Arabidopsis thaliana: one gene and its partner. The protein of the gene in region 2 interacts with the protein of the main gene of each other region in a biochemical or structural test. Each region holds a gene or a part of one and is shown on either strand. Other genes may lie near its edges.

What was found.
Region 1: the proteins of ASIL2 (region 2) and MRLK form a complex in vitro, tested with the Arabidopsis thaliana proteins (one study listed by BioGRID).

What each region holds. Positions count from the first base shown.
Region 1 is NC_003074.8:20,816,394-20,821,313, forward strand, and holds MRLK (meristematic receptor-like kinase), read right to left. Parts: upstream 3,125-4,920; coding exon 2,394-3,124; coding exon of another isoform or gene 2,282-2,393; coding exon 1,468-2,281; coding exon of another isoform or gene 1,399-1,467; intron 1,310-1,398; coding exon of another isoform or gene 681-1,309; 3' UTR 528-680; downstream 1-527. UniProt on the Arabidopsis thaliana protein: Can phosphorylate AGL24.
Region 2 is NC_003074.8:4,706,268-4,711,085, forward strand, and holds ASIL2 (sequence-specific DNA binding transcription factor), read right to left. Parts: upstream 2,910-4,818; 5' UTR 2,355-2,909; coding exon 1,023-2,354; 3' UTR 535-1,022; downstream 1-534. Other genes in the region: AT3G14190 (uncharacterized protein), read left to right, coding at 4,640-4,706, 4,791-4,818. UniProt on the Arabidopsis thaliana protein: Transcription regulator that may repress the maturation program during early embryogenesis.

The DNA.
Region 1 (4,920 bases), about 16 Mb from region 2:
ACAATTATTAATACTTGTATTTATTATGAGTGATACTAATTTTTTTTAATATAAATTTTATTGGATTTAAATAATCTCGAACCTTAACAATTTGATTAGTCATGAAAAATTATAAATTCTCAAATTTCTCTCCTGAGATTAAAAGAATTCCATCTTTGAAATCCATTTCATTTCATCTTCTAAAAATGAAATCTTGGCACTTGTTGGCTGTTGCTTTAACTTTGATTATATACTGGTTTACATTTTTCTGGCTAGTGCGTATCTTTGTACTCTTATGTGTTTATGTTTTGGCAAATGTGTGAGCATTTTCATTCTTTACATAGGTACCTAAACTTTCATTCTTGTTGGACTTTGGTTAGTTGTTTGAATCTTCTCAATGTCCTCTCCTTTTCAGTATATGGTGTAAATGGTGCTTTAAAACTTACCTAAATTTTTACTGTAGATGGTGAAACTCATTTCTAGTAGTACCTTCTTCAAAACCCAAATTTTTCACTGTGCTCAAAAGACAGAGACTACTTGATGAAAGAGACACTATTTACAAACATAAACTGATGAAGAAATGGTTCAAAACACTGAAACAAACAAAGAACAAAAAAACAACTTGGAAGAATTAAAGAATTGCAAAAGAAATCAACTACTACTCTGCAACATTTCCACACTACAAAAATTCTCCACTCTTTCTATTGACTTGTGGAAGCAGAAGCTTCAGGGACATCAATCAACGGTTCTGATGTTGTTGCTGTTGTCTCTTCCGGTCTAATCTCTCCAAGTTGTGTCATCACTTGTTGAGCTTCAGGTCTTGTTGATGGTGTAGCATCAACACAATGTAAAGCCAGTTTCAGTGTATTCAAAATCTCATCACCCATTGTGTTCACATCATTCAACAGCTCCAAATCAAAAACCTCATTAGTCCACTCTTCTTTAACCGCAGTAGCAACCCATTGAGGCAAATCCACACCGTTTAAGGCCTCACTCGGAGATTTCCCAGTCAACAGTTCCAATATGATCACACCGAGGCTGTACACATCGGTTTTCGTGTTGGCTTTCTTCAGCTTAGAGAGCTCAGGTGCTCTGTAACCTAACGCACCAGCTGTTGCAATCACGCTGGATCCTGCTGCTGCTGTCATTAGCCTTGAGAGACCGTAATCTGAGATCTTCGCGGTTATGTTCTCATCCAAAAGCACATTGCTTGATGTTAAGTTTCCGTGGATGATATTTGCGTGTGTGTGAAGGTAGAACAAGCCTCGAGCCATTCCCTTTATTAAGCTCATCCTTGTAGGCCAATTGATATGTACATCTGGTCCTCTTGCTGCAATTTCAAATATGAAAACAGAGTTACAAAATGGTACTTGTAAAGCAAAATTGTCTTTAACTTTAAGACTTTAGTATCAAACTTACCATGGAGAAACGTGGCAAGGCTTCCTCTAGACATGTAATCGAAGACGACAAGCTTCTCTCCTTTAGGGCCTAAGTAATAAGCTCTGAGTGCAAGGAGATTCGGATGCCGGATTCTTCCCAAGACGTTAATCTCATTCTCAAACTCTTTTTGACTTTTGGTGATCTTTCTCTCAATCTCTTCACTGCTACTTGACTTCCATCTTCAAGTGTAGCTTTGTACACAGTCCCATAAGTGCTTTTCCCCATTATCTCTGCTGTTGCACACAAAAGATCATCTGCAGTAAACGCCATTGGTCCATCAAAATGAACCAGCTTCCCTCCAGTTTCACCTCCAGCTTCAGCTTCCCCTCCTTTCTCAGTCTTTGCGGCTACAGCTCCAGGTCCAGCCTCTCCGCCCTTGGCTTTGGTTTCATTGGCTTTCTTCCTCAGCAAGCAACATAGAACACAAACAAGGATAAGCATAACTATGAGGAGTGCTCCAGACGCAATGAGGATGATGTCTTTGGTACTCAGATTCCTGTGGGATGGTTTCCTTTCTTTTTCAGGAGACGGTGAAGGAAGAGTAGGACATGGTGTCGAAACGCTGTATCCGCAAAGCAGTGAGTTCCCGACAAAAGAAGAGGAATTGAACTTTTGGGACAAGAGAGTAGGAACAGGACCAGATAAGTTGTTATAAGAGACATTGAAGAAGTTCAGGCTTTCCAGGTCAGAAATCGAAATAGGAATCTCTCCGGTGAGTTTGTTTTGAGACAAATCCAAATGTATAAGAGAAGAAATGTTCCCTAGGGTTTCAGGGATATGGCCACTAACACTGTTACCACTAATATCCATTTTTCTAAGCTTAGTGAGTTTGCTTAGCTCAGAGGGTAGGGTTCCACGGATCCTATTATGACTAAAGGAAAAAATCTTGCAGCTGAGTTAAGTTGCAGAGTGAAAATGGGAACGGACCAGAGAGAGAGTTGTGATCAAGAGATAAGACACGGAGATTAAGAGACTTACTACCCCAAGTATCTAAGATTGGACCAGAGAGGTTGTTATGGTCAAGAGCAAGAAACTGAAGGGAAGAAGACCGAGAGAGACTCACTGGGATTTGACCAGACAGTGAATTAAAGCTGAGATTAAGCCTAAGAAGCTTAGAAGAGTCAGCAAGATTCGGTGGAATAATCTCAGAGAGCAAGTTATTGCTGAGATCAAGCGTTTGAAGGAAATGTGATACACCGAGAGAAGCAGGGATTGAGCCAGTGAGACGGTTGTTGAAAAGCTGAACTCCTCTAAGATTAGGAATGAGTCCCAATGACATTGGAATCGAACCTCCAAGGTTGTTGTCATGAAGACTAAGCTTACGAAGAGCTTGAAGCTGTCCGATTTTCTCAGAGATTCTACCTCCAAGACTCTTCCATGGAAGTTGAATGACGATGACTTGACCTTGAGCACATTTTATTCCAGCCCAGCCTCCAGAGCAAGCACTGAATCCAGAACCGTTCCAGCTTCTCAAGAAGCCTCTTGGATCAATCAGTTCTTGTTTAACTGCTTGAAGACCTTGGTAATCAGCTTGTGTTATCACTACACCATCCCAGGCTTGGCTTGAGCAGGGAGGGACGAAGAAGAGGAGGCATATGATTAGATGAAGGAGAAATCGGCTTCGAAGTGAAGCCTTAGGTTGATCAATGTCGGTGTTGATCATACTCAGAGAAGTAATAGCTTGGTTTTGGGTGATAAACTCCATTAGAAGATGAAGAAGAAGAAGAAGAGAGAAGAAAGAAGATAATTGGAGTTCTTTATGGGTGAATAGTAGTTGTGATGAGGATGGAACAGGGAAAGATTTTGGATTTGAAAGAGTTTTGTAAAGAGAGAGATGGGTTTCGTTGGAAAAGAACAACAGAGCACGTGACCATCTTAGAGAGAGAGAGAGAATCTTGGTCTGTGTTCTTTTATCTTGTAGTGAGAGAGAAGTGAGAGAAAGAGAGAGAAGGGAGACAAAGATCAGGTGATGGTAATAAGAGGTTGGGGGGTGGGAACAGTGGATCTCTCTGTTCTGGCCTAATATTAGTAAATGGGCTCCAACGGCTAGTTTCATTTATTCATATTAGTTACTTGTGTTTAATAGTGTTTTGAAAACACTTTGTTTTGTTCGATGGGTTGCTCTTGCTCATGTCATTTTGTTTAACAGTGTTTAGTAAAATACTAGTATATGGATTTCATTGGGAATTTGGAATTACTAATACATAAAGGTAGATTTTGTTAACTAAGTATCAAAAAACGATAAAAAATCATTAATCACAATACAAACATGTTGGTTCTGACAAAGATGAAAAATTTACTAGTATTACAAAAACAAAAATTTTGATTTGTCAAGAGTACTATCATGCTTCGAATTTGAACCAGTAATATATTACTTACATTCAAATTTACCAGTTGTTTTCTTGGAATCTTTTTTTTATAGCTCTTAGTTGTTTGTATGTGAGGTCAACATTATTTAATTTTATTCCAAATCTAAGGAAAGAGATCAAAGTATTGTTCTTCCGAATAAAGTAACAAATAAAGCAGACAACATAATTTTATTTTATTCTTGCAGACCAGCTTCGTTTAATGCGTCGGAGCTGCCTAATGGACACGACACACGAACAACAAACCGCTCCGCTCCTTCACTTCTCCTCCTAACGGCTATATTTGTGGGACCTACAAGCCATTGGATCACTAGATCTTGTAAAGAAGCCCAAAGGAAATGAACAAGCCATTTTATTTATGGTTACTGACTAAAATGCCCTCGCAAATGGAAAGTAAATAAAGTAGTACAGTTTCAGAAGAAGCAGACACACAACTTTGAAACTTGAAAGTGAAACTTTTCCTGGCTTACAATTAAACAAAGAAAAGAAGGGAAGGGTTGTGCCGTACGAGGTTATTATGTTGACGCTGATCTATCTTTGCCCTTTTTAACATAAGGCTGGTACACGTGTTTAAAGTGTTTGGATACTAGATGTGGAGGTTTTGAACTTCAATTTTTTTAAAAATTCTTGCATATACATTTTTCACTTCAAACACATTTTCTGAACATATACCAAACCTGACCATTTCTCTTATGAACAAGTCATCTCTATAATGAAGTCTATAATGACATATCACTCCTGTGGTTGCAAGAACAAAATTCTGGAGACACTCTTACCTTGAACTCAAATGGTATGTCATGTATTGTAAATACTATATCACAAGATTAGTAATTCTCAAGCCATAAGGTTTGGAGGAATCGAAACAAGATGGTTTCCGAAGGCGAATTTTATCATGCTGATGAAGCTGTTGCTAAAGCAATTAGATATTAGCCCCGGGAAAAATAAAGTCCAAACAATCTCTCAAAGTTAAACTGTACTCAAACCATCAACCTCGAACCCCAAAGCAAAGCCTAATTTTGTGAACAATAAACCAACTAACAATGCCCTACTTTTATAATCGGATCATCCTCATGTCCACCAAATCTGTTAATAAGTTTTATATTTCACAAAGTGGGAACTATGAGCAAATTAGCAG
Region 2 (4,818 bases):
GCCCACTTTAAAAAAAAAAAAAGAATATTCATTTGTTACATTAATAATTTACTATTTCTTTAGTAATCACTACTTTTATTGCTAGATTTAGTTCCAAAAAAAAACTTTATTTTGAAAAAAAAAACTTTATTTTGAACTTTACTAAGGAAAAATCTTGATTAGTAATCCTAGTGATACCAATATATCATTAGATAATATCTAATCTATATGTCTAAACACACGTGGACCTTTGGAATCAAACTCTTTTCTACCTAAAACAAAAACAAAATTCAGAAGATTTCAAGATGCTTTATTTCTTACGTTTTCATTATTGTATTCGTTTCAAAAAAAAATAAGAATAGTGCAAGTTAGAATGATGTTACGGTGGGACTCGGAAGATGGTATTTTTACTCAAATATCATGATTCACCTTTCGATACATGAATATTAGCTTAGTGCGGAAGGTAAAATTGTGAGAAACATCTATGTGTAATGAATTTGAATTGACTGTCATTTGTTTAGTACCTATAAAATGCCAAAAGGCAAACATCATAGAAAAATAAATAAACAGACCAACGAAAAGGTTTCTTGCCTAACATTCTTCTTTTATAGAAGATCATCATTGGTGGTTTGAATGATGCTTCAGACACAAGAAAATCTAGCTCAAACAATTACTCAAAAGAAAAAGAGTTAAAAAAATGCTTTTAGGTACACATGCAAATCTCCAATGTCATAATAACCAAACATAGCTTTAAGATTTTGCGGTTGGATTGTGTCAAAAATGTCCTATGCCATGTTCTAACCTAACTAGTGAAACACAATCTAACTCAGAGATTAAGAGAAGTTCAAAAACGTGCACAAGAGTCTGCAGCAGAATGATCTCAGGCAATCTAGTGAAGTTAAATCTGTTCCATATGACCAAAGTTAAGAAAGATATGCAAAATATTAATACACTCATGAAGCCTAGATAAGTTTCAGTTTCTCTTTCAACAATTAAAGACTCAAATCTAAAATATATCAATTACGACACTGCATCACTAAATTCTAGTTATTACCCAAATCGTTGTTGTTGTTGACAATCGCATTGATGTTGTTCTTGCGGCTGTGATGATGATCATTACTGGTGTTTCCCATTCTCCTCCCATGTTGCTGCTTAAGTTGTGATATCTCCAATTGAGTCTTCACAAAGAACTGCATTCTCTGCAACTCAAGCTCCTTCAAGAACTTCATCCTCTCTTTCTCCATCTCAACCACCTGTTGCAGTTTCGCATTCTCTGTTTGCTCATAAGCTTCACCGAATCTCATGATTGCCCGAGTCAGCTCCCTCCATTTGTTCCCCACTCCATCACCATCTTGCTTCTTCTTCTCCTCCGTCTTCATCCTCTTCGACAGAGGAGGAGGTGGTAAACTGTCACCGGAATCATCTGACATTGCTGCTTCAGATTCCGAGTCTGAATCAGAAGCGTTCCTCTTCCTGAAACGCCAGCGTTTCGACTCACTACACCTTTTCACCATCATCCCTTGCTGCTGTTGCTGTGGCAGTGTCCTACCTTGCTGTGGCAGAGTCCTCCCTTGCTGTCCAAACGGAGCTGAACGGCTACTCATCGGAATTCCCATAGGTACATTGACAGATCCTCCTCCGCCTCCTCCACCACTGCCACCGAAAGAAGCAGCTGAGACTCTAGCCGTAGCTCCAATTAACCGGTCAAGATTATTGAAAGGCGGTGTTGCAGCCTTAGCTTGCTGATGGTACAGATTCGAACGACTTCCCATTGGAATACCCATAGGAATCTTATGCAATCCTCCGACAGGACCGCTGACTCCAGAAGTTGCCGTCGGGATCTTCGCCGTTGATCCAATCAGACGGTCAAGCTTGTCGAAGAACACCCATCTGCTACGGCCACCGCCGTTAGCGATTCTCACCTTCTCTTGTTTATACTTCTTCTTCACCGTATCGATCCTATTCTTACACTGTATATCAGTTTTGGGAATTTTACCGTAATCCTCTCTGCTGCTCACAATCTCAGCCACCTCTTTCCAGTGCTTCTGCTTCAGATTCCCTCTGCTAAGCTCCAAGTATCTCTCACCCCACGCATCAATCAACACAGCCGTAGCTGCTTCGCTCCAACAATCCTCCCTCCCGCCGCCGCCGGTTGGTCTCCCACTGCTGTTATTCCCTCCACCGCTGGCCTGAATCGGAAGCAGCGCCAGAGCCAACGCATCCGGATCCTTCTGCGACGAATTACCCGGAGGAGTCAGAGAATAAGAAGGCGGACCTGCCGAAGCCACCGTAACCGTGATTCGTCCCGCCGGCGGGGAGGAAGACGGATCAGGTGAATCGGAACCCTGAGATCGGATGTCTTCATCGTCCTCCATGGAATTCGATATCGCCGGATCTGAGTCAGAAGCTCGTGAAAGAGGGAGATAGGGTTAGGGTTTGGGTTAATATTCTGTTCGGGAGGGGTAAACGGGAAGGAGACGGCGTCGGTGAGTAGAGGGGACACGTGGAAGGACGTGAGAAGATACGGGGAGATGACGTGGAATGACGTGATTGGTAGGTCAGAGGTAAGATTCCGTCACCGGTAAAGTTGCCGGCTCGGTTTAGGGGTAAAAGATGGGTTTGTATCGTAATTTCCCCATTTCTTCGTAATCCGATGAGGAAGTGTATTGACGGAAAAGCCCATCTAGTTTTACTATAATTACCGGAACTATCCCCGTGAACCATTTTTCCGGTGATGTACCGAAATTACCCTTAGCCTAACCGTCAGTTTCAATATCGGTCGTAGACTTTTTTTAGTCCGTCGATAGTTTCCAGTTGTCTTCCTTCGTTGTCTTGCTTCATTCGTTAAATCGATTCGAATTAGTCTCTCTTTTAACAATAAGAACGGTGACGTGGATGTTATTTACTTTGGGCATGGGTTTTTATTGGGCTTTCCATACGCTACGTTAGCATGTTATCACTTAGTATCATTTTTTCTTTTCACCATTGTCAAAGATACAACTTTAAACATTCCAGAAATACTATGTTTCAAAAAGACCTTATATAATCTTCGTGAATTGTGAAACAAACAGAAATTTAATATTTCTCAAATCTCAAAACACCAAAAGCGACCATTATGTTATGTACACAGCAAATATATATATACAAAGAAAAGTAGTTTGGGATACTTCTTCTTCTCGTAGAAATACCTTGTAATATTTTTCAACGGTCCAATGCGTTTAGCACAATCCTGCAGTATTACCGGACGTTAATTAGATATGGTGGTACTAATGAAAGCGATAATGCGTTGGATAAAATGAAGTATAGTTTGAGAGGAAAGAAAAGAGAGGGAGATCAAACCAATCGCAAGCATTGAGACTTGTAGCATGTGTTTCACTTGGTGTTCCAGCTGCATACAAATGATTTTGGTAATCATTAATTTACAAATCCATAATACTCTCAAGCTAATAATGATTATGGATGTCAAAATAAAAAAAAAAAATAATAAAAAAAAGCTTATAATGACTATGAACATATGTATCACCTTGCAAAGTCTTTAATTTACATGAATATATAGGGTTTTAACTGCTCATAACACAAGCATAGAAGATAAAAAAAAAGTGGATCAGAAAGGATTTTTAAAAAAGGTAACATAAGAGTCAAAGGGGAAACGGGGTTGCTTGAACGGTCAGGAGAATTCGGGACACGTTTCAGATCCACCATCAACTTCCGGTTGGCACTTTCACCGGATATGTGGTTTCTCAACTTCCCGAGACCATTTTCCGGCGTTGGACCGGCCAAAGTTTCATCCCACAACTTGTGCGAAAAACCCATATCTCTGATCAAATTATTAGAAGGGTTTTTCTTGTTAATTGTCTCTAATGTGTTTTGAAAAGAGTTTTTTTTTTGTTAAGTCTTCTTTATGTGAGGATAATGGTTTTATATAAGGAACAGGAACGAGAAGCGTTGAATATCCTTGGTTAGACTAATTATATACACTTTACCTATAATTTAACCTTCCAAAATTAAGGAGATTTAATCAAGGATGATGATAAATCTAGCCGATAAGAAGATAACTTAGAGAAGTGTGACATGTTTTGCTTCTATCTTACATGATAGTTTGATGCCGTCAATTTGATTTATGTGATGGGCCTGTACCTGGGCCAATTCTTGATTAGGCCTGCATTAAAATATTCTGCCAACGGCTAGAAACTTTTTCTCTTCTTCTATAAATTTACTTTTTTTGGCCTAATCCCGGAGGTTCTTCATTATTTCGTCAGAACAACATTGAAAAGTTACCGTTAAACACTCTAAGCGCTCTTCTTCATCTTCTTATACACTTCTCTTCCAACAAGAATCTCACCAAGAAACTTCTTCACTTTTACAAAGGTAATCTCTTTCTTCCTTCTGATTTAGGTTCACATTATAGACTGTTCTTCTTGCGATTGTTTGTTCTTCTTTTCGTATGTCGCTACTTGATTCGTTCTGGGTTTCTGGGGTCTGTGGTGTTAAATTTGCTTGAGGATCGAATTGGGTTTTGTGAAAAAAACGATCTTTGTTTCGATTTCGAGTTGGGTTTCTGTTACCTTTTTTAGGGTTTCTAATTGCTTAAAATCGTCAGTTCTGGAATCAAATCTTCGTTTCTGCAATTGGTTCTTTGATGATTCACAGTTAAAACCATATGGCGAACATGAACGCTCTTCAACAAATGATCTTCCCAGACGAGAACGCTCCAATTCATCGCAAAAGTAGTTAATCTTTCTCTACTCTCTTTAAATCATATTGCTTTGAAACAAAGATTTAACATTTTCTTTCTTGGCTATTATTTACAGAGTCTGTCACTGCTGCTTCTGTGAAATC